Macaca mulatta: one gene and its partners. The protein of the gene in region 1 interacts with the protein of each later gene in a biochemical or structural test. Links are inferred from orthologs where the notes say so. Each region holds a gene or a part of one and is shown in the gene's direction. Other genes may lie near its edges. The genes, in order: MAPK8, ELK1, DUSP10 and NR4A1.

Region 1 (5,587 bases):
GGTATAGGATTAATGCACCACGTTATGGATGAGGAAACTGAAGTTCAGAAATTTGAAATAACGTAAGATTCCAAATCTGTTATGTAGATGAACTAGTACAATAACTTCAGAGTGCGTGGTTTTTTCAGCCTCCCATTTTGTTTCTGGCGGGCAACAGAGACTTCTCTGGCTACAGAGGTTAGGACAGTTGTATGAAGGAGGTGAAATTTGAGCTGAGCCTTGAAGAGTGAGTAGTATTTCAAAAGATAGGTCTTGATTTTGAAGTAAAACTATGCCATTTTAATTCCTCAGAAACTTCTACTTTTGAGGAAAAAAATAGATGTATCTAGCATGTTGTATATGGGTAAGGTTTTTTAAAACTATAGTGACATTGTCTACTATAAACATAATTGTTTAAGCCATTTTTTGTGGATTGCTTTGACATTTTTGCTTATATATTTTAGAGTTGTATATTTTAAATCTTTGATCAAGAATGCAGTCTTCCAGATTATAGTGTAGATCCTGTTCAAAATATGAATGGGTTTTGACAGCTTTTACCTATTTTGGAAATGGACTTTTCTCTACAATTTACTTCTAACAAATTTAAAGCTCTATTTTAAATGCTTCATGTAATTAATTAGCTTTGTATTGCTACATAGTAGTAGTATAACTGAATTGTTCATGATAGAGGCTCAGGTGGGATTTGGAAAGTTCATTATGTGGGACAGTTTTATACTTTAGCATACTATCCAATTGAGTGGCACAGCTGGAGTGCCAGATGTTTGAGTAAATGTAATAATCTCATGAGTTAGAGCAGTTGTATTTGTTCTTAATTTGTAAGTGAATAATTTGAATCTTAGTCCAACACTTGCTTATGATCACAAAATAAGTCAGTGGAAAAGATAGAAATTGAGGTTTCTAGACATCTTCTGGATTCTCAGTTATAGCTTGCAAAGATGAGTATTAGCAAATTAAGCTGTTATGAAAATATTCCGCTCTTGATTATGTACTGTAACAAAAGGAGTAGTGCTTGGTAAATCAAAATATCAGATAACCATAGTACCATTTCCACTTGATTTTTAAAATGAATTTTATTCTTTTCCCCCTTTGAGTGCCTTCTTATATTTATTTTGGTTTGGCTAATAGTAAAGTAAGTTTGCCTGCCTTGAGTGTGTAGAGACTCACTTGAGAGAGGAATGACCCACCTGAGACTAATGATTTTCTATATTATTACCATTCAGATATTTGAGAATTTACTGTATTGCTTTAAAGAAAAAACAAGTGTGTGGTTTTTTTTCCTTAGGTACTTGATTTTTAGATTAAAAAGTTAATGCATTTAAAAGTTAATTTTTATCAGATTAAAACATTTGGATAAAATAATAGACCCTGAACTAGAGGCATATATAAAAATTATATATGTTGGATCCCTTTTATGGTTTGAATGTTTCAGTACAAGTCTTAGAAACTAGCCATTGTGTACTATGTATGTTACACAGATGTATCATACTGTTCAGTCAGAAAAGGCTCATTCCAAGTATTGACTGAACTAAAAAGAATATACTATCTCAGTTTCACTCTGACTGAGAAGCTAATGGACCTTTCTTGGGTCTAGGAGATTATCACCTATTTTACCTCTCATCTCTCAGGCCTGAAATACTCATCCTGCTTTTCTCTTCTGTTTCAACTCCCATCACCTGCTTTGTCTCTTGTGGTTCCATTCCTTTCTGTCTCCCAGTCCCCTCCCTAAAGATTTTCCTATTCCCACTACACTGCCTGTTTTCTTTTTGCATTTGAAGAAAAGCTCGCAGAGGACCTTTCATATTGAAGTGTTTTATTGCTTATCTGGACAGAATGGAGAGATGATCTCAAATACAGATGCTGGGTTCAGGAGCAGTGGTTTTCAGCCATATTTGGTTTCAGCATCGTTGGGTGCCTGAACCTCACCCTCAGAAATTCTGCTCAGTGTTCCATTTGAAGACCATTGATTTTATTTCATAAATGTATTCTTGAGAACTTTTAAGTAACTTGCGTTATTCAAATTTGGAATGACCCTTATTTAGTGTTCATGTGGTTTAAAAGTACTTAGCCTAGTGCATGAGTTACCTTTTTTCTCTATACCCCAGTGTAAGTCATTCCTGTCCCCTTCCTAAACCAATCCCCTTGAGAGGATTTCTGTCTCGAGCTCAGGTATTCGTGTTACTTTTTAAAATTCAGGAAGTCCTTATTAGGTAATACTTTCGGCAAAAGAAACTGTTTGCTCCTACTTTATCTATTTAATAAATCCATATTTCTACTTATCAAGTATTAGCGTAGAAATAAGAAGACCCAAGTTTACTTAACTAGGCCATTTGAGTGACACTGTCATGTCCCATAACCTTGTATAAACTGGGGCAGTTGAATTAAGGTTTCTTCCTGTTAAAATTATTTTATTCCTTGGCGCTTGCTTTAAAACAAGATGTGCCAGAAGTACATCTTGTTTCAAATTTGAATCATTTGAATTTTTCCTTTTTAGTGCAAAGCTATAAAGACTTTTTTGTAGGGAAGTAGCTTTTAACTTTTGTAGTTATACAGTCCTTTAAGATCTTCTGTCCAAAAAAAGGCATTACAGACAGTTTTGCATGTATTATCAGCAGTATTCACACGTACCCTGAAGCCCATTTGTGGATCTTGCTGCAGGACCATTTCTAAATGTGGCTCAGATGTAAATTCTTGTCTTAAACTGGAAAACACATTCATTGAAAGGATAGGACTCCACGATTCTAGACATTTTCAGAATTCTCACCTCATAGCTGTCAATGAAGAGTGTTTTTTAGTGTATTGGATATCATTTGCGATTATTTTTAGTGAGCCTTCTAAACCCAAGAGAAAAAATTACCACTAGAGGCAGGCAGTGCAGTGCAAGTAGCTCGATCTGCAGCTGTCTGCAACTGATTTGCTGTTTTGTTTCTCATAGCACAGGTGCAGCAGTGATCAATGGCTCTCAGCATCCATCGTCATCGTCGTCTGTCAATGATGTGTCTTCAATGTCAACAGATCCGACTTTGGCCTCGGATACAGACAGCAGTCTAGAAGCATCAGCTGGGCCTCTGGGCTGCTGTAGATGACTACTTGGGCCGTGGGGGGGTGGGAGGGACGGGGAGTCGGTTAGTCATTGATAGAACTACTTTGAAAACAATTCAGTGGTCTTATTTTTGAGTGATTTTTCAAAAAATGTAGAATTCATTTTGTAGTAAAGTAGTTTATTTTTTTTAATTTCAAGTGATGTAATTTAAAACCTAAGTTGTGTTTCAAAACAGCAACAAAACTGTATTGTATTTTTTGCTGTAATTAACTGTATAATGTAAACCTAATTATTTTATCATGTTTTAAATTTTTTGCATATTTGCTTTATCTTATGCTGCTGATTTTTTTAACTGAATTTGTAAGATTTTGTTTATCAAAGCAACTATTATGTGGTGACTTGCCTATATCATGAATTATTTAAGATTTTTATAGTTTTTTTTATTAGAATTTATTTCAGATGTTTTGTTCATGATACTATCCTTCAGGGTTATGTGCTTATCAATGAAATAACCCCAGAGGAGTGAGGGAAAATAACTTGTAGCCAGTTATATTCAGGAATAACTACTGTAAATGATGAACGTGTTAGGAGACCTCCAATATTTGCTACTTGCCAATCCTAATTTAGTTACAAGAATTGGTAGGCAATCCTACTTAATTTTGGCAAAAGCCCCGTCATCTAAGTGGCAGAATAACTCAGAGCATGTCTTTGAAGATGCTGGGCATCTACCACCACCTTATGTCCCCACCCTACCCAACAGAAATAAGTAAAAAGAACATGGTGTATTCTGCAAATTTGTGGCATGCTCAAAGTTTATGATCACATAAAGTCAAGAGGATACTTCATGAATAATACATTTCAATGCAAATAAACAGATGGTTCACTTCTACTAGCTATGAGCCTGTTTTTGTATACACTGAGTTAATCTACTCAGGCTGTAGGTCCCAGCAATGTTCTAGAGTCTAGTCTTTCCCTTTCCTGCAGCTTCGGGCCCTTGGACCTTTCCGGTTTCCTATTACTTGGAGTGTCTATCAGTTGAACACCAGTTGTTCTGGTGTTTCTGGCCATTTGATTCTACTTGTAGCATAATCATATTTATACTAGCTATTGGGAGGTTCCAAAGCCTACCTAGATTTGTGTAGGTGATGTATCAAATGAGCAATATACCGTTCATCTGAAAATAGTAGCACACAGCCATATATAGGATGTCATTTTCTAAGGACTGTTTCTTCACATTGAGCAGAGCAGGCATAAATGGTGGTTATTTAGTCTGAGTCTTTTATTTTTTTATACCTGATTTTCAACATAACATGCAATGTGGATGTCGAGTAGTGTAAGAATGGTGCTGCTCCTGACAAGTGTATGTTAACTGTTTACATTTTCTATCTGCAGAATTATTTCTCTATAACTGAACTTTTCCCAAGTAAAATGTCTTTGAAGTCTCGTTATTTCTGAAATACGGTGTCTGTAATAGACCCAGGCACCTTTTAAATGATCTCTGGAACAAGAGGGATTTCATGTAATGAACTAGGAAATGCATACTCACATAAGCAGCAAGGTTCTAGGCAGAAAGCCCCTTGGAATTCGTGACCAATGGGAAGAACAGGTGTGGCTTAACATGCAGTGTCTGAAAATTTGCTTGGCATTTTATTCATATATTTAGTGCAAAATTCCTTTTGAATGAGATATTTTACATCATTGTTAATGTGCAATATTTAAGATTAAAATACGTTAGCCTTTTTATATACTTTGAAATAGCAGGTTTGTTTTTGATGGCTTAGAGTCATGATTTCCAGCTTCCCAGCCTTTTTATCAGTCCCTTTTCTAATACAACAAGGTGCATTAATTTGATTAGACAAATTAGAGTTTTAAGACTATAACACCTCTTGAATTGTAGACAGGAAATACTGGATTCACAGTTTTAGCAGAAATTTGAGAATGAGTGTGTTTATATTAATTTGACAATTAGCTGTATTTTCTGTAACGTAGATTATGTCACTGTTGCACTTTCACAGCAGACATGCTTTCAGAAGGTTCTCTTATTTTATGCTTGATTGCTGATAAGCCATCTTTATTGATACAGATTTTGGTTAAGTAAGGAAAACCAGGTGTCTGACTGTATCATTTGTTGTAAACGCCAGCTGCCACTTGCCAACCATAACATTGAGTTCAATTCAAAGAAAACAAACTCGAATTACTTAGTGTAAACTAAAATATTTAACAAATTATATCCTAAAAACAAGGTCTCTTTGTTAAATGTTGTGTGCCCTAGGTTTTAAATTACTACATCTAAATACAATTTTGCTCTTAAATTTGTTAAGCTAAATAGGTATTGGTTCTTTTTATTTTGGAATCCTTTAAGCATCTTAAACATTTTTTTTCCCAAGAGAAGTTACAAATAACATTTCTGTCAGGTAGTACTTGTGTGAAACCACCTTTCTTGTTCTATAATTTTGATTTTTCAATTTTATATACTTAATATATTCACTGTCTTACTATGAGAAAGTTATTTTGACCAAGATTTTTATTATCTTTACAGATTAAGAA
Region 2 (6,348 bases), on another chromosome or scaffold:
GGCCAGGGAGAGAGGATTGCTTGAGCCTGGGAGTTCAAGAACAGCCTGGGCAACGTAGTGAGACCCCATTTCTAAAAAGAAAAGAAAAAGAATATGCACAGGGTCACACAGCTAATAAGTGGCAGAACCAGGATTCAAACACTGGCAGTCTGGCCCTAGTGCCTGGGCAGTTGTCCAGCAGGTCATATTGCCTCTGCTTAGAACAGTGCCTGATGTGTATTAAGCTCTCAGTAGATGTTAATTATTGCTGTCATCGAGAAAGAGAACATTCAGAGCCGAGCATGGTGTCTCACACCTGTAATCCCAGCACTTTGGAAGGTCAAGGTGGGAGGCGGGTGGATCACTTGAGGTCAGGAGTTCAAGACCAGCCTGGCCAACATGGTGAAACCATGTCTCTACTAAAAATACAATAATTAGCCGGTCGTGGTGGTGGGTACCTGTAATCCCAGCTATGCGGGAAGCTGAGGCACGAGAATCACTTGAACCTGGGAGGCAGAGGTTGCAGTGAGTCAAGATTGTGCCACTACGCTGCTCTCCAGCCTGGGCGACAGAGAGAGACTCCATCTCAAAAAAAAAAAAAACAAAGAGAACATTCAGGGATAGTAACAGGACAGAGAGATCAGGCGTTCAGTTTTAGGACGGCTTCATAAAGGAAAGGACCTTCAAGGTGGAACTTGAAAGATGAGAAAGACTGCTAGGCAGAAGAAGGAAGCCCCACGTGGAGTGAGCAGCCTTTGCAAGGCTCTGGCAAAAAAAACCTGAAAAACTTAACATTTATATGGTAGAATTTATATGGTATGTAGAAGATACAGATAACACTCAAATAAGGGGGATGGAACTAATTTTCTATTCTTGCTGTAATAAATTATCACAAATTTAGCTGCTTAAAATAACATATTTGTGGCTGGGTGCAATGGCTCACGCCTGTAATCCCAGCACTTTGGGAGGCCAAGGCAGGTGGATCACAAGATCGGGAGTTCGAGACCATCCTGCCTAACACAGTGAAACCCCGTCTCTATTAAAAATACAAAAAAAACTAGCCAGGCGTGGTGACGGGCACCTGTAGTCCCAGCTACTCGGGAGGCTGAGGCAGGAGAATGGCGTGAACCCGGGAGGTGGAGCTTGCAGTGAGCCAAAATGGCGCCACTGCACTCCAGCCTGGGTGACAGAGCGAGACTCCGTCTCAAAAAAAAAAATTTTTTTTTTAAATAATGAGTTATATTTATAGCTGTTATACCTGTTGACCTGAGGAGAATTTTGAGAGTCCACAGAAAAAAAAAAAAATTGTTATAGGTCAGAAGTCCCATACTGGTCTCAGTGGGCTGAAATCAAGGTATTGGCAGGGTTGTGTTCCTTCTGGAGGCTCTAGGGGAAAATCCATTTCCTGCTCATTCAAGTTGTTGGCAGAATCCAATTCCTTGAGGTCGTAGGACTGAATTCCCTGTTTCTTTACTGTCTATCAGCTGATGGCCATTCCCAGCTTTAAGAGGCTACCCACAGTCCTTGGCTCTGAGCCCCCTTCCTCCATCTTCAAAGCCAACAATGGCAGGTTGAGTCCCTCTCACATTTTGAATCTCCCCTGCCTCTTCTGTCATCACATCTCTGAGCTACCTTTCTTTCTTCATCATCTGCTTTTCAGAGCTCATATGATTAGATTGAATTTAATCAAATAATCCAGAAATAATCTCCCTGTCTTAAGGTTTGTAACCTTAATTTCATCTGCAAAGTTCTTTTCTGCTACGTAGTATAAATAACATACAGGTTCCAAGGATTAGGATGTGGAACAGGGGTGGCATCATCTGGCCTACCACAGTCTGCCCTCTGACCGCCACAGATTCACATTTGTCCCACAGGCAAAATACATTCACACCATCCTAAGATACTCATGAGTTGTATCCCATCACAGGGAGCATCCCAAGCTGGATTGGGGAGCTAGAAGTTAGTCTGGGAATGTTTAGGGAATGATGGTAGGGTTTGAGGACAGAGATGGAGAAAAGATGACAAAAAAAGGAATCCTCCTCCCCCTGACCTCTGCCCCTCCTATGTCCACAGCCTCTCAACTCAGCTGTTTGCCCTCCAGGTACCCCTGGGATGGCGTGAGCACTCCCCCAGCGATGGACCCATCTGTGACGCTGTGGCAGTTTCTGCTGCAGCTGCTGAGAGAGCAAGGCAATGGCCACATCATCTCCTGGACTTCACGGGATGGTGGTGAATTCAAGCTGGTGGATGCAGAGGAGGTGGCCCGGCTGTGGGGGCTACGCAAGAACAAGACCAACATGAATTACGACAAGCTCAGCCGGGCCTTGCGGTACTACTATGACAAGGTACAGTCTCTCAGACCAGGGCTGGGACCCCCCCTAACATTTATGTCAGAGATTTTATTTTGTTTTGATTGCCATAGCTATGACTTTGAAAACAATGTTAAAATTTATCAGTTTTTAACCCATCCATTGGTACTGTCAGGCCAGTATTGGGCCCCTAAGCACTATCTCACCTACTTTCTTGTCTTACTGCTTTGGCAAAAACCATCATTGCATTATTAATACTGACTCCTACTCCCACTCTGAGATCCCCACAGTGATGCTGCCCTGCCATGCGCATTTCATTTTCGTGTCATATTCCTATAGCCAACATTTTGAAAACATGGTTAATAATGGCTGGTCCTCATTCTGTCCTCTGGAAGCCCTAGACCAGTGCTGGGCTTCCCTAGTTATTTCATAATCTTCTCTTATTCCAGAATATTTCATATTCCTAGAATCAAAACCTCCCTGACAGTATTATACCAACTTTTGCTTACTTTGTCCTCTGGGACCCCAACATTTTTAACCAATTATTTTCTTATTCCTTAAGCTAAAACCTCTGTAACAACATGTTTAGTACCAGCTTCCACACCCTATCTTCTTAAATTCCCAGAGCAGCACTGGTCTACCCCAATATTTATATCAATTGTTTTCATTATCTTATTCCTACAGCTAAAATTTAAAATTTCCCCCATTCTGCCCTCTCAGACCCCCAGGCCACTGCTGGGTTTCCCCTCCCCCCAATATTTATACAAGTTATTTCATCTTCTTATTCCTCCTGCTGAAACTTCCAAACAATATTCATGAATATCCCTTTTCGTTCCTCTTTTGAGAAACACGGGCCCACCCTGTGACATATCTGACCAGCACTAAGACTTCCGCAGAATGCCCTAGTGCTCCCACACTCCTCTTGCCCGTGCCCCCAAGAACAGCCCTGGACCTATGCTGCATACCCTTCATAGTTTATGGCATTTATTCCACTTTCATATTTTATTCCTTGAGCTCAACCCTCCAGAACAATATTAGTAATGAGGCTCCCTCACTGTGCCCTCTGGGAACGCTAGGTCATCTCTGAGACCCACCAGACCTGAAAAACCCCAAACATGCTCTGTGACCCACCCAAGCCAGCCTTGATATAGGCCCTCTCCCAATATTTATACCAGTATTTTTAATATTCTTGTCTAATTGCTGTTAGTTACTTCATTTTCTTACCGCTTTAGCTTCAACCTCCACAGTGGTATTAATAATGAGGCCTCCTCGCCCTCTCCTCTGCAGTGACCTTGCCCTATTCCACTTCTGTGTCATTAGCTTCAAATAATCCTCTGTATTAATAATTCATCGCCCCATCCATCTATATTAATTTACTTTCTTCCAACATTTATATCAGTTACTTCATTTTCTTGTCTTACTGCATTTGCTAGTCTCCAAAACTGTGTCCTGACAGTCACCCACAAGGCCTGGCCTGTGAACCCCTGGTTCTTGGAGCCAAGAAGACTTGCTCCCACACCTACTACCTTCCCTTCACGGGCCCCATTGTGAAGAGGAGCCACAGTGTGGAGGGGGTGGGAAAATCAGATAGATAGACCTGGAGAGTGACAGAGGGAGGCTTGGAAAGGGGTGGATGGGAAGGGGCTTAAAGAAAGAATTGTTGTGGAGAGAAGAGAGAAAGGGGAGGAACTAGGGAGGGGTATAGATAAGGGGAATCTAGGGGGAGAGGAAAGAGGTAGAAACCAACGGGAGAGGAAATGGGCTGATAGGCTGAGAGGGGAACTTACAGAGGAGGGACAGGAAAGCCAGAGAGGGGCAAGTGGGAAGAGAGCCACTAGGAGAAGAGAAACACCACTCCACCCCAACATACACACACCCTGCCTCCAGCCTGCCCCTTTCCTCTCAGGCCCTCTGTTCCTCTCCTCCCTTTCTAGAACATCATCCGCAAGGTGAGCGGCCAGAAGTTCGTCTACAAGTTTGTGTCCTATCCTGAGGTCGCAGGGTGCTCCACTGAGGACTGCCCGCCCCAGCCAGAGGTGTCTGTTACCTCCGCCATGCCAAATGTGGCCCCTGCTGCTGTACATGCCACCCCAGGGGACACTGCCTCTGGAAAGCCAGGCACACCCAAGGGTGCAGGAATGGCAGGCCCGGGTGGTTTGGCACGCAGCAGCCGGAACGAGTACATGCGTTCGGGCCTCTATTCCACCTTCACCATCCAGTCTCTGCAGCCACAGCCACCCCCTCATCCTCGGCCTGCTGTGGTGCTCCCCAATGCAGCTCCTGCAGGAGCAGCAGCGCCCCCCTCGGGGAGCAGGAGCACCAGTCCAAGCCCCTTGGAGGCCTGCCTGGAGGCTGAGGAAGCCGGCTTGCCTCTGCAGGTAAGGACTGGAATATAGAAATCCAGTAAGAGGAGGCAGTAAAGAGGACGGATGTGTAATCCCCGGATGATGAGGGAGGCTGGTAGAAGAGACATAGTGCTCCTGTTAAAGGAGATAATGGTGGAAGGAAGAACACAGACATCCTCTTAGAAGGAGGGATGGGACAGAGAGCTACACAAACCCTGAGACAGAAAGGGGAGAATACTGTGCTACAGTTAGTAGCTGCCGAACATGTAGGTGCCTGAAATATATTTGTTTAATGCACTAGTTCTCACACTCTAGCGCTCATCAGAATCACCTGTAGGGCTTGTTAAACCACAGATTGCCAGGCACACCCCCAGAGTTTCTGAATATGTGGGGCTGGGGAGGGGCCCAATAATTTGTATTTTTAACTTGTTACCAAATGAGGCAGATGTTGCTGGTTCAGAGGAAGGTAAATTTTTGAGAACCACTGTTTTAATGAATGAGGATGATATCCCTCAGATTCCCACCTGCTTCAGGTTGTCTTACCCCAAGTCCCCTGTCCCATAGGAGGACTTGCCCCAGAGGAAGCCCTACTTCCTTGATGAAGTCCTATGTCCTGTTGGAGAACCTGCTCTGATGTCCCCAGTACCAAGTGCCACTTTCCCGGGGAAATCACTGGGTAGCCCACAGGAGAATCCTGTGGCCCCAACAATCCTTACCCTCTTTGTACCTGCTCCTCTCCCAGGTCATCCTGACTCCGCCCGAGGCCCCAAACCTGAAATCGGAAGAGCTGAATGTGGAGCCAGGTTTGGGCCGGGCTTTGCCCCCAGAAGTGAAAGTGGAAGGGCCCAAGGAAGAGTTGGAAGTTGCCAGGGAGAGAGGGTTTGTGCCGGAAACTACCAAGGCCGAGCCAGAAGTCCCTCCACAGGAGGGCGTGCCAGCCCGGCTGCCCGCGGTTGTTATGGACACCGCAGGGCAGGCGGGCGGCCACGTGGCTTCCAGCCCTGAGATCTCCCAGCCACAAAAGGGCCGGAAGCCCCGGGACCTAGAGCTTCCACTCAGCCCAAGCCTGCTAGGTGGGCCAGGACCCGAACGGACCCCAGGATCGGGAACTGGCTCCGGCCTCCAGGCGCCTGGGCCGGCGCTAACTCCATCCCTACTTCCTACACATACATTGGTGAGTGCCTGGGGAGGTGTGGGATGGGTGGGTGCCAACCCCAATGGGACTGGCATGTGGCAGGTGACTAACGGGAATCAGAGGAGGGCGAATGTGGTTGTCCCTGAAGAGGGTGGAGCCTTCGAGTGTGATTGACTGGGCTGACGCTGGACTGGAGGGATGGGGTTTGATTAGTGAAGGGCAGGGCTGCGGACTTTTGTGGGTGGGACCAAGGGGCTTTCTGTGGGACTGTTTCTGGGTTGGGGTGTGGCTTAAGGAACCTGAGCAGGGCTTTTTGGTCTGGGATTTGCATATGGGATTTCACGGGTGGGACATGAGTTAGAAGTTGACCCTGAGCTGTTTGGATGGTGACTTGAGAGGTTTGAGAGCAGCATTTGGATAGGGTCTTGTGGGTCGTCTTGACCAATGAGGTCTCTAACTGAGGGTGGGCTCTCGGGAATAGGGAGTGGGGGGTGTATACGGAGTTTGAGAGATTGTAGGCATGGCCTCCATAGTTACCATCTAGGTGTGTGCACTTTGGGGAGTGACCCTGGGAGTGTGA
Region 3 (5,751 bases), on another chromosome or scaffold:
TGTTAGCATTACATCATTGGCTCCCCAGAACACAGTTGCACCAAAGGCCTTAAACAAAGTAGTTCTTCTTGTATTGTTTGCACTCAAAGAGCTGATATCATGCCAACTGATGTCATTGTATGTCTTTGTGTAACTGCTATGGCAACTGGGCAGGTGGGGAGCCTCCAGCTGATGTCATTGAGAAAGGAGGTGTAGAGGCAGAATTTTAAAAAGCTGGACGCTGCTTTTTTCTGTGTGTGGGGTTTTCTAGCATTTTTTTTTAAACTAGCTGCTTTTAAGACAAATTACAGCTTGAGTACCCTAAATAAGAACAGAGAGGTTTTTCCCCTGCTTTTAGAGACTTCTTTTGAATTTGTTTTGTTGTTCTTTCCTCTCATCTTATATGGAAAAATGTAACAACTGCCGCCTTTGAAGAAAAAAGTGAATTAGGTTCCCATCACAGAATCTGTGTGGAATTTGGGTTTCTGTGGAGGCAAAGCTGAGCAGATTTTAACTCTTCAGAATCCCTTTTGTGGAGGCTGTGATGATGACAATGGGTAGTTTTTATCTTATTTATTTTTTAAGTCTTCACTGGTGAAGTTATTTTCAATATTTTCTTTCTTTCTACTTCAGAATTCTCTCTTCAGGTTCAAAGTTTATTATCATAACTGCCTAGCAGAATGAACTGTCATACGTAAGGGCAGAGGTTAATTCTAGAAATCAGCTGAAATTTGTATACAGCTCTTGTTTTTCTTTTCAAAAAGCTGAGGTAGGTTTTGACTTTTTACTTTCGATGAGTAAAGTGAACATTGTATTGCCCTTTGAGTTTTCTTTGGATCATAACCATACCTTAAGGAGAATATGATTTCTCTCTTTTACGCAGCCAGCTCCGGCTCCATTGGTTATGAAAAGTCATGAGACTCGGTCTAGGTTATGGTCTGGAGTTTCCCACTGTGGTTTGTCAAAGATGAGACTTGAAATGGAGAAGAACATATGCTAGGCTCAGAGGCTAGTGGACAGATAGACTTCCTGTCCTTATTGCAACATAACCGTCTCTTGTTCATGCTTTGGGTTTTCTGCCTTATCTCCTGGAACTATCAAGACAGCCACAAGCCATCTGTCTTTGAGGGTAGTAGATGTTGTGTTCTGGTGGCTTTCAGCTAATAGGAGTTTTCTACTTCCCCCTCTTTTCAAAGGGAAAGCCAGAGTGTATCTAGTTCTGTTTGATTTGAATTAGAGTTCAGTTGGCACTAATAATGTCAATCCAGATTTTATAGCACTTACATGTATATTATATAATTTGAGCTTTGTAATAATCCTTTGGGTTTATCTGTGCATGTCATTGTGTGTAAAAATATTAGCAGAAAATTTAAACAATAAACTGTGATCCATAAATTCCCTAACTTAAACAATTGTTCATTTTTTGTACAGTCCTTCAGCTTTTGTTGAATGTTTTTTACTTAGCTTTTTAAAAATTTAATATTAAACCAAAATATTTTATTTATTTTCACGTCGTTTTTGCAACTACTCTTTTAAAGGCCACATAATACTCCATGGAATGAATGTAATAACTTTTTTTTCTTTTAATTTGTTTTTGTGTTTTACTTGGCCTTTTAAAAATATATATAAAACAGATAATATTGTAGTGACCATCTCCATGTATCTAGCTAACTGTCTTTGGTTAGATGATTTCCCTAAGATCCATTCCCAAAATGAGATTGCACTTGTTCAGGGGAAGATTTGCATTTTAAAAATGGAGAAACAAGCACAGTTTATAAGCTTTTTATGCTAGATGCATAACTCTTAGGAGGCAGAGCAGAGCCGTAAGCTCAAAAGTATGCATTCACACTTCCACAAGAGGTTTCTTGATGGGTTTATGTGCCCATAAGCCTTGGAAAGTCGAGGAGTAAGCAACTGCGCTGCTCTCACATTCTGTTCTACTGAAAGTCAGGGTTGACAAATGTCAGGGACCTACATGGAGAATATGAAAAAAGATTATAAGAGCAATCCATCCCACCCCACCCTGGCTTGTCTTTTCCAAGTACTTCTCTGCTGATTTCACCTGTGGGCAATCATATAAATAATATAAATTAAAATAGTGACTACTTGCTGAGCTCTACTGTGTGCCAGGAGATGTGTTAAGTATTTTACACATACTCATTTATCTGAGGCTCACAGTTGCACTCAAAGGGAGACGCCATCACCCTCAGCTTACAGATGGTGGAACTGAAGCACAGAGGTAAATGAACTTAAGTCATAGTGTCAGGAAATGATGGTACCCAGAGTATAATCAAGGTAACCTGTCTCTTCCACGTTCTTGCTTGTAACCACTCTGCTGTATTGGGAGCACACTTGGCCCTCTGGGTGAGGTGAGCTATGAAGGGTGCAAGACGTGCTCCTGTGGTGCTGAGATTACACCCGAGGAGGTCATCTGTGCCTTTCTTGGCTCCCAAAGCACAGGGTTCTATGTAGGCCACTGAGCATATGGCTCTTTGAGGCAGGTCACATTTGCAGCTGAGGAAATTGCCTGACGCTGCGTGGAACTCTTTCTAGGGGAACATGCCCTCATTTGTAGAAAGAGCACATTTCCAAAGTGCTCCATGCAGTGATACTCCCCGAAGCTTGTCTTGGGTCTCTAAATGGACTTTTATTTTTTGTTTTATTTTTATTTTTATTTTGTTTAAATACATATTTATGTGTGTATTTAAAATATGCTTGAGCTACAATGCAAACTCATTCTAATGGGGAGGTAGCATTTTCTGCCAGCTCTGAAATCTCAGTCACTCTCACTTTCTGTGTTTGTGTTCCAGGTGGACTTAGTAGTTTTAAGCAGAACCATGAAAACCTCTGTGACAACTCCCTCCAGCTCCAAGAGTGCCGGGAGGTGGGGGGCGGCGCATCCGCGGCCTCGAGCTTGCTACCTCAGCCTATCCCCACCACCCCTGACATCGAGAACGCTGAGCTCACCCCCATCTTGCCCTTCCTGTTCCTTGGCAATGAGCAGGATGCTCAGGACCTGGACACCATGCAGCGGCTGAACATCGGCTACGTCATCAACGTCACCACTCATCTTCCCCTCTACCACTATGAGAAAGGCCTGTTCAACTACAAGCGGCTGCCGGCCACTGACAGCAACAAGCAGAACCTGCGGCAGTACTTTGAAGAGGCTTTTGAGTTCATTGGTAACTGTCTCCCATAGGGAATTTTCATCCTCTGCCTTCCTTTTCCCTCCGGCTCTTGCTTTGATATCAAGTTCAAGGTTTATTCCTATGTTGCAAAAAAAAAAAAAAAAAAAGCTGCCCTGGAGTTTCGAAGGGCTCTGCTAACTGAAACAGCCTAAGCATTCTCCTAAGTCATAGCCTGTCAAGTGTATCCAAGCCATCAAGATGGATATAAAAGGGCAGTAATTGAATTTGTTGGGATCCGTTCAACTAGAAATCCTCATCCCTCAAGTTCTCAGTGAAATAGTGGTAGGAGTTAGCATTTATGTGCTCTATAACCAGAAAAATGGATGGAAAGTAAGGAATTGGAGGTCAGAGCTGGTGCTACTGCTACTGGATCTACTAGCGCCCTTCAGCACCTTGGAAGCAACATCTAGTGAATATGACACCCCTTCCAAACACACCCATGCCTTCCGGTCACCCTACTAATCCTTATTCATCGAGCATAAGAGGAGATGGTACTAGCTTTCCTTTGACAGTGTGCCCCAAACTCATTGAACTAGGAAAGGTCAGGTTGTGTAGACAGAGTAGTTCCCAAGGAGGAAGTTTTAGCAACAGCAGGCTTTAATCCCCAGAAGGAAGCAACTATCAGCCTAATCCTAATCCTAATTTCTGCAACTTCTATAGCCCCAAACTGCTATAAGACTCAAAATATCATTTTAGGAACACCTGCAATATAGCAAAACTCAACATTTGTTTTTGTTTTGTTTTGTTTTGTTTTTAAGTAACTTCAACTTTTATCACCATAAAGGGGTGGTCTAGTACTTTTCCTAAATATTACAGCAGGTTGTTATTCCAGGAAGAATACAGTTAAGTGGAGTGGGGTGTTCCTTCGCCAGAGAAAAAAAACAGCCTTAGGTTTAACAGCCACTGGGGTCTGGTGGATTTGCTGTAGTGTTGACATCTGCGGCCATGTTGCCAAGCTGTTTTCCTTGCTAATTATGCCGTCAGCACAGGACCATGGAATATTGAGTCTGAAAGGAAATTCAGGGTGATCACTGAACTTAGAGAAGGAAAGTGACTTCTCTGAGGTCATAAGAATTCTAGTGTCCAAGAAGGGGCCAGAATCCAGGGTTTTTGACCCAAGCCTGAGGCCTTTTCACAACATACTAAGGTGATGTTTCTGATGCCCTATTAAGTAATTCCCAACTGGCAACACTGAGGATGCAGAGATACTGCAGATTCTTTATTAATAAAATCTGAGCCAAACCTGGAACTCTGAGGAAGAAAAATTTCTCAACAAGCAGATGAGGGACTTCTGGTTGATACATGGTGTTATGACTGAGATTCCATCTGACTTAATTCCAGTTGGAGGAAGTTAGGAAATTGTTTTCTATTTAATGACTAGGGTAAGATATACTTGTTCTAAGAGGATTTCAACCAAAGCTCTCACATTCCTTATAGATTACTCAGGCTTACCTGCCTTTTTTTTTTTTTTAAAGGAAAACGAGACCAATAACAAATAGCATTCAGCCCGAAGAACAACTCCAAATCACAACCTGCATAGGCGCAATTTTATTTTCATCGTTATGTTATTGGATAAACTGAAATCTTACAGTCTTGCGTTAGGAAAAACACAGCAGGTTTTATAAACATAATAGCTTTCACTGAGAGTCTAATATAAATTAAGCAGCATCTAAGTTTAGTGTTTATGCCAGTTTGTTTATTCCTGAATCAAGTGTGTGTAGTGGAACCAGTGGTCCAGCCAGGCACTTGGAAGCTCATTCTCTCATCACCATGCTTTCTGGTCTTGATTTGGAGCTCAATACTGTGCACTGAAGGGAAAAGGTTGGAAAAAGAGAGATGCTTACTTTTCTTGAAATACTGTTGACTATGAGAAGTAAACCTCATCTGTAAACTTTTAAGATGAAAATTTATATCAGGTTTTTTTTTTCCTTGGTCCACTGGTGGCTAGCCAGTAGATGTAGTTTAGGTGAAATCGCTATTCTCTCTACTCCTTCTCCTTCCCTACCTGTTTATCTAATTGGTGTTCCTTCAAGGAAGCTTGCTTAGAGATGCGTTAGAGTCTAGAAATGTCGTTAAGAATCTGTTCAGGCAGTGCCCACACGCTATTGTCCTGAGCTTTTAATATATCCGAAAACTTAGCAAGTCTTCCTCTTTCAATTGCTCTGGATTTTGAACCATTGCTGGGATTCCTCCATCTTCTGCATTATTGCCACATTGGAATGTCATACGTGGATGCAAATGGGGTTGAACGCTTGAGAGGTGACACCCTGGGCCTGTATGCTACTGGCCTTTAGTTAACTTTGCAACAACTGGATTTTCTGGGGAGAAGCTGAACATAGCATGTTTCTAGTTTAGCTTTATTCCTTTAACCTTAATCAGGGTTTAGTAAGACTAAAACTCTTATCCATTTAATTCCCGTTCCTGTACAGAGCAATTCTATAGAATAAAGAAAGTGTTTTTTCTCTATTACAAGTGAGAGAGTTGTTGTTACTAGCTTTAGGTTTGTTAAGTCACACAACCAAAAATTGGAATTAACATCCTTAATCCAAAGAGGAACTGTTATATATATATATATATATAACAT
Region 4 (6,435 bases), on another chromosome or scaffold:
TCACGCCACCTCCACATGCCACCCTAAGTGTGCGTGTTCTGGCATTCCACATTTTAGAATATGTTTTATTTGATTATAAATAGGAGAATATATAATAAAGACAAGTTATGCTGAAAGTATTTATGGAAAGGAGAGACCTCTGTGGGCTGGAAGCCTTCATGGAAAAACTGGTAACTGAGCCCTTTTTTTCCCTTCCTGTCTAAATAAATGTATTTCTCCCACACAGGCAAATATTTTAAAATGTATTTCAAAAGTTAGACTTCTGGAAAAAGAAAGGAAAAGAGGGGGTGGGGTAGCTGCTCCTCTAAGAAGCCCATCGGAAAGGAGCTGCTGGGGTAGGAAAGAGGAGGACACAGGGTGAGTGAGGAAAAGCCTGTCCCTTTCCCCCACCCTGACACCTTGCCATTTTTGAAGCCTCAGTTTCTTTATCTGTAAATTGACCTAATACTTGAACCTGGGAGAGAAATGTACAGGTTCTTGGGAGGTGATTTTGAGACAAACCAGAGGTTCTTGGGATCATTATGAAGAATGAGAGAAAGGGAATTCCGAGTTTCACCAAGAGTTTAGGATTGGTCCAGCAAAGGATTTCTGGGGGTGGGCAGCGGGGTGGAGAGAGGAATGCAGCCCCTGGAATGAGGGCTGAGTGGAGGTGTGGGGCCTCTTTTGGAGAATTTTGAGCACAGAAGAGATTCTTTGCTGCGTGGGGCCTGGCCTGGGTGCTGGAGATTGTATAGCATGCTCATAATTTAAGGTGGCTCCAAAAGGGAGCAGTGACTAGTGGCTGGCACAGCAGAGCACATGACTGCATCCTCCCTAATGGGTGTTCCCCAATGACCTTGCCTGTATGGAGGTATAGGAACAGAGATGGTAACCCCAAACCCCACCCACCCAGCCAGCCCCAACACCATTGCTCCAACCTTGAGCTGGCCTTCCTGACCAGCCTTTCCTGAGTGGGCAGCTGATGGGGGAGAAGGATTTGCTCAGGACAGGATGATTCTCCCATTTCCAAAGAAGGCTCCAGTCACATGGGAGAGAGAAACCTTCCAAGTGCCTGCACCCCCAGGAAGATTCTTACCGTGGAAGCCTGGGCCTGGAGACTCCGGTCAGAGGAGGGTGGGCCTTCCAGGGCTTCCTGGCCACGGTGGTGGGTCTCTGAGTGCATTAAACACTCCTGTGGATTGGGGAGAGCAGGGAGAACTAACCCTCAGGGTCTACTGTGTACAAGGCACCTCCACAGCTGTTATCATCCTGACAGCCAGATAGGGTGGATAATCTGATCATATCATCTTTGTTTTAGAGATGATGAAGCTGAGGCTCAGAGAGGTCAAGTGACTGCCCTAGGTCACACAGCGGTATGGGAGCAGCCAGGTCAGTGAATCCATCATCTGGGCTTTGCCGGGGCCTGCACCACCACCTCGGGCAGTGCCCTCTTCAGGAGGAAGTCCTATTTTTCTGTAAGCTGCCTTCTCGTGTGGAAGCTGGGTACTCTACTACCTGGGTTCCTTGCCCTTGGGATGGCATGAATGCCAAGCGATGCAGGCAGGGCGCCCGCAGACTCAAAAGGCCAGGCCCTGCCTTCGCCAGTAGCCGAATCGCTGTGTGACTTTCGGCCGCCACCGAGTCTCTCTGGGCCTCTCTCTTTCCACCTCTTCCTGGGGAAGCCCCGGGTAAGTTTATTTATAACCTAGCCCCAGGTGCGCCGCCTCGGGAGGTGTGAGCGAGGCCTCGGCACCTTCACCTGAGAACCAGCTCCCCGGCTCTGGCCGCTGGTTGTGTAACCGGGTGTGCGGAGTAGGGGGAGCCGCGGGGCGGGGCGCTCGCGGCTATTCCGGGCGCAGCTATTTTTAGCCCCATTGATGAGGCTGCGTCGGCCGCCGCCGCCGGGATTCCGGAGACGTCAATGGGCACGCGTCACGGTCCCCGCCCCGCCCGCCGGGGGAGGCGCGCCGGGGCTGGGACAGCGCGCGGGCGGCCGCGGGCGCGGGGGCGGGGGGCGCGGCGAGGCCGGAACTGCGGGCGGGGGGCTTCCTGGGGGCGGGGGGCGCCGAGCGGCGGCGGCGCGGCTGCAAGAGCGCGAGGCGGCGGCGGCGGCGGAACTGGCGGGGTCCCAGCGCGGCGCCCGCGACCCCCGGCCTCCAGGCATGGGCGCCCCTGCGGCGCAGAGCAGCTCAGGGCCTGCTGGTGCGCGACCCCGGAAAGCAGGAGTGGAGAAGCTAGAGGAGCCCGCGGGGCCAGGTGAGGGGCTGCCGGTGTGGCGGGAGGTGGGCCCCAGAAAGGCTGGGCAATCTCGGGTCTTTAGTGGATGCCTTGGGGCGGGCTCAGGGCCACGCCGGAGTCCCGCTTGGAAACTGGGGAGTCGGGGGAGGGACTGGATTCCCAGCGGAACTTGCTGGCTCAGAGTCAGTCCCCAAGGGCGACGGCCAAGGCTTTCTCTCCCCAGCCCGCCAAGGGTGGGGTTTGGCCCACGAGGGGCGCTGGAGGTGGCCAGGCCGGAGAAATTCCTTCCATTTCCCCGCCGGCTGCGGGAACCGGTTCCAGGAGCGCGGGAGCTTCCAGGAGTCTACCAGGAGACCCAGCCGGGAGGGACGGATGCTGCGCGATGCAACCCCTTCACGGGACTGAGTCAAGAAACCAAAGCTAGGGGTCTCGTGGAATCAGGCGGAGCTGGGGATTAGGACTTGGGGCTTGTGTCTCCCAGGCGTGTTTTTTTGGTGGTTGTTTTGTTTTTTTGCCGCAACATCTTCCCTCCTTGTATTGGGAGGGGTGGGGGCGCGGTATTTCCAGACCTCCTTACCATGGTGGTCTGTGTTGAGGACAGGACACAGTTCCCTGACTTGGCTCATTCCCCTCCACAACCTACCCCCCCCCCTTTTTTTTTTTGAAATGAAGTCTCGCTCTGTTGCCCAGGCTGGAGTGCAGTGGCGTGATCTCGGCTCACTGCAACCTCCATCTCCCGGGTTCAAGTGAGTCTCCTGCCTCAGCCTCCCCAGTAGCTGGGACTACAGGCGCCCGCCACCACGCCTGGCTAATTTTTGTATTTTTAGTAGAGACAGGGTTTCACCATATTGGCTAGACTGGTCTCGAACTGCTGACCTTGTGATCCGCCCGCCTCGGCCTCCCAAAGTGCTGAGATTACAGGCGTGAGCCACCGCGCCTGGCAGGCTCATATCGTTTTTATGCCTTCGTTTTTGATAGATGACCTGGTGGATAGGGGAAACGCTACAGAGGTGGTTTACAGTGAATTGTTAATTTGGATGTGGGGCTAGTATTAGCGGCACATTGGGAAAACGCAGGCTGAGCAGAGGTCGGTTTCACAACAGTTATGCCCAGTGGGTGCTGATGGATTTGGGGGCTGTTGTCAGCCTGGCCTGGAGCCCTAGTGGTGGGGCTACAAGACTTGCTCCTAGACCTACTCCAAGTGAACGTTTAAGATCGGTGACTTGGATGAAGACTTAAAAAGGAAGTCAGCCGACTCCTTGTAGTCATGCAGAGCTGTGAGGAATGACAAGTGCACAGTATAAAATCAAGATTCTAATTGAAGGCAACTGGGCAGAAGGATGGGCTGAGATTAACAATGTGAATGTGACTGACGAGGCCTGTGCTGAGGCCTCTGCTGGACTTAAGAAAGTCAGCTGAGGAGTTCAGGCCCTGTGCCTGGCTCAAAGGCCCAGGAACCCAGGCCCTTAGCTTCTGACATGTTCCCTGGACGGAGGCTGTGGGACTGCTCTGTGCAGTGTGAAGCCTCCATCCACTACACAGGTCCAAGTGGGCGGTAGGGGGAGCAAGAATGCCTGATTCTGGACTCCTTGGTTAGGCTCCCTGGGTTCTAATCTCAGTTTTGCCAATTCCTAGCTGTGTGACCTTCGGCAAGTTGCTTAACATTTCTTTCTGGGCCTTAGTTTCCTCATTGGTAAAATGTTTATAATAATAATCCCTTCTTCATAGCATTGTGAGGCTGAAATGAGAAAATGCATGTAAAGTGCTTAATGTATCTGGCACATGTTGTTTAACAAATATTAGCGGCTGTTGTTATTGCTAATAGTAGTAATATTCCCATTTCTGGGTAGGGATATTGGCCAATGTAGAGCTTGTACTCAGGAGGCCACCAGGGCCTGTCAGGCAGAGGGCCTGTCAGTGGTGTCCTGTTGCAAGGAGCAGTTTAGTTAAGAAAAGACTAAAATACTTGCTAGGAAGGACTAGAATGAGGCTTCCTGTGGGCCAGTGCAGGGGACAGAGCAGGGATCCAGGGACTTTTAGAGTCAGGGATGTGATTCAACATAAGGAAGAACGCTCTGGCTCTTGGATCTGCCCCCAAATGGAAGGGACAGCTCTTGAGCTGGAATGCTGTCCCCACCTAGCTGACCTTCCTCCCAGCACAGCTCCAATGCAGGCATGTGCACCCCCCACCTTTCCACGCACACTTACTGAGCACCTGCCAGTGCTGAGCAGAGTTTAGAGACTGCAGATTCTGCAGTGATTCTGATGGACAGCATCCTTACATTCTGGTTGGGTAGACAGGTAATAAACCAGTGAACAGATGTGAACATTAGACCTCTGATGAATAAAAATCAGGCTAGTGTGGTGGGGTGGGGGTACAAGCTGTTCAGGGAGGTGACATGGGAATGGAAACCTGGTTGATCAGGAAGAGCCAGTTCTGGGCAGAGGGAACGGTGGATGCAGAGGCCCTGAGTGGGGAGAGAAGGCCCATGTGACGGGACCACAGCGAGTGGCTGGGAAATGAGGTTGGTGGGGAGCAGGAACTGGGGACTGAAATCTGGCCTGATGGTCCACCCCATTTTGGGGGTCACTTTCTCCGCCAAGCCCACTCAGCCTTTGGTTTGCCCTCTGCCCAGTGCAGATTGTCCTTGACCTTGGTTCATCCCTTATCAGATCCTGGGGCTCTGGGATCTTGGTGTGCTCATTCTTGGCTCTCCTGTGGTTCGGGGCACGCTGCCTAGCTTCCAGGGGGTCCTCAGTAAATGCTTGTGGTGTGACTATTGAGGGGGGCATTTTGATCTGGAGCAGGCAGGGAAACAGATACCTGCTTGAAGATGCTAAAATCATTTGTGGGCACCACCAGGTGCCAGACTCTGGCCCCTGTTCTGAGAACCAGATGGGGAAGAGCTGGGTGCTCAGGTTGGGCCTGATTATGGTAGGTGGTATTTGGCCCTCCCTACCCTTCCTTCTCAGCAGTGGGCTGGTAGGGAGAAAAGACAAGGCTGGGGGAAATTATAGACCAGTTTCCAGGGGATGGGAGGATGACACTGTCATCCTGGAAAGCAGGTGTAGTCCATGGGCTGGGGCAGATTGGAAGCCTCGTCTTGCTTTCTGTTTAGGGTTAAAGATGCTCCAGATGTTCCAGTCTGCCCTCCCTTCCCTCCTTCTCTCCTGTGGCCTTTTCCTGCTCCCCATCATACCCACAGGATCGGGAGGGAGGGGTGCTGGTAATGTCGTAAGGGGAGAGCCTGGGTACTGTGGGCCAGAGGTCCTCCCCTTGGCCTGTAGACCTTGGGCAGAGGTCAGGAGGACGAGGAAGCCCATTGCCCACCCTCTGGGGTCCTCCTCCTCTTTGTCCCTCCTAGCTCCCATCATCTCCTTCTCTTTTCCCAGACCTCATCGGTCTTAAGGGCAGTCCAATAGCCAGTGAAGGCCTGGTCCTGCCCTCACTCTGGAGCGTAGTCGAGAGGAGAGAGCACTGGAGTGGGTGGAGGAAGAGAAGGAGAGATGTGGGTCAAGGTACTCTAGCTGAACGGGGTTAGGGGAGAGCTGAAGAGGCTGGGGTGTGGGGTGAGGCACATAGTTGGCTTCCACCCTGGAAGGAGAGGCCAGGTGCCCAGGGTGCCTTGGACTAGGAACCAGGGTCTGTGGCTAGCTTTTATGTGTGTGTCCTCATTGAACTTCTCCTAATAATGACATGTAGCAGATATGTGTATCTAGCACTGTCCTAAGTCTTTTACACATTAACTTTTTTTAGCTGGGCGCAGTGGCTCACGCCTGTAATCCCAGCACTTTGGGAGGCCGAGGTGGGCAGATCACGAGGTCAGGAGATTGAGACCATCCTGGCTAATACGGTGAAACCCCATCTCTACTAAAAATACAAAAAATTAGCCGGGCGAGGTGGCGGGCGCCTGTAGTCCCAGCTACTCGGAGGCTGAGGCAGGAGAATGGTGTGAACCCGGGAGGCGGAGCTTGCAGTGAGCCAAGATGGTGCCACCGCACTCCAGCCTGGGCGACAAAGCGAGACTCCGTCTCAAAAAAAAAAAAAAAAAACTGTTTTAAAAGCCTGCTGATAACCCTGTGATTGTTAATTTTAGAGATGTCATCATTTTTACAGATGAGGAGCATGAGGTACAAAGAGATTATGTAATTTGCCCAAGGTGATAAGCAGTGGAACTAGGATTTGAACCCAGACAGTCTGGGATCCCACATCCACTC

Evidence for each region.
Region 2: of the proteins of MAPK8 (region 1) and ELK1, one has a biochemical effect on the other in vitro, tested with the Homo sapiens proteins (3 studies listed by BioGRID). The link is inferred for Macaca mulatta from reciprocal best matches to the Homo sapiens genes MAPK8 and ELK1.
Region 3: the proteins of MAPK8 (region 1) and DUSP10 form a complex in vitro, tested with the Homo sapiens proteins (2 studies listed by BioGRID, with this or other methods). The link is inferred for Macaca mulatta from reciprocal best matches to the Homo sapiens genes MAPK8 and DUSP10.
Region 4: of the proteins of MAPK8 (region 1) and NR4A1, one has a biochemical effect on the other in vitro, tested with the Homo sapiens proteins (2 studies listed by BioGRID). The link is inferred for Macaca mulatta from reciprocal best matches to the Homo sapiens genes MAPK8 and NR4A1.

Annotation. Positions count from the first base shown.
Region 1 is NC_133414.1:60,722,504-60,728,090, reverse strand, and holds part of MAPK8 (mitogen-activated protein kinase 8), read left to right. Parts: intron 1-2,932; coding exon of another isoform or gene 2,933-2,937; coding exon 2,938-3,083; 3' UTR 3,084-5,587. UniProt on the Homo sapiens protein: Serine/threonine-protein kinase involved in various processes such as cell proliferation, differentiation, migration, transformation and programmed cell death.
Region 2 is NC_133426.1:47,660,732-47,667,079, reverse strand, and holds the start of ELK1 (ETS domain-containing protein Elk-1), read left to right. Parts: upstream 1-2,114; coding exon 2,115-2,324; intron 2,325-4,222; coding exon 4,223-4,666; intron 4,667-5,375; coding exon 5,376-5,807; intron 5,808-6,348. UniProt on the Homo sapiens protein: Transcription factor that binds to purine-rich DNA sequences. Forms a ternary complex with SRF and the ETS and SRF motifs of the serum response element (SRE) on the promoter region of immediate early genes such as FOS and IER2.
Region 3 is NC_133406.1:79,589,011-79,594,761, reverse strand, and holds part of DUSP10 (dual specificity protein phosphatase 10), read left to right. Parts: intron 1-2,789; coding exon 2,790-3,161; intron 3,162-5,751. UniProt on the Homo sapiens protein: Protein phosphatase involved in the inactivation of MAP kinases. Has a specificity for the MAPK11/MAPK12/MAPK13/MAPK14 subfamily. It preferably dephosphorylates p38.
Region 4 is NC_133416.1:59,216,917-59,223,351, forward strand, and holds the start of NR4A1 (nuclear receptor subfamily 4immunitygroup A member 1), read left to right. Parts: upstream 1-2,047; 5' UTR 2,048-2,141; coding exon 2,142-2,235; intron 2,236-6,435. UniProt on the Homo sapiens protein: Orphan nuclear receptor. Binds the NGFI-B response element (NBRE) 5'-AAAGGTCA-3'. Binds 9-cis-retinoic acid outside of its ligand-binding (NR LBD) domain.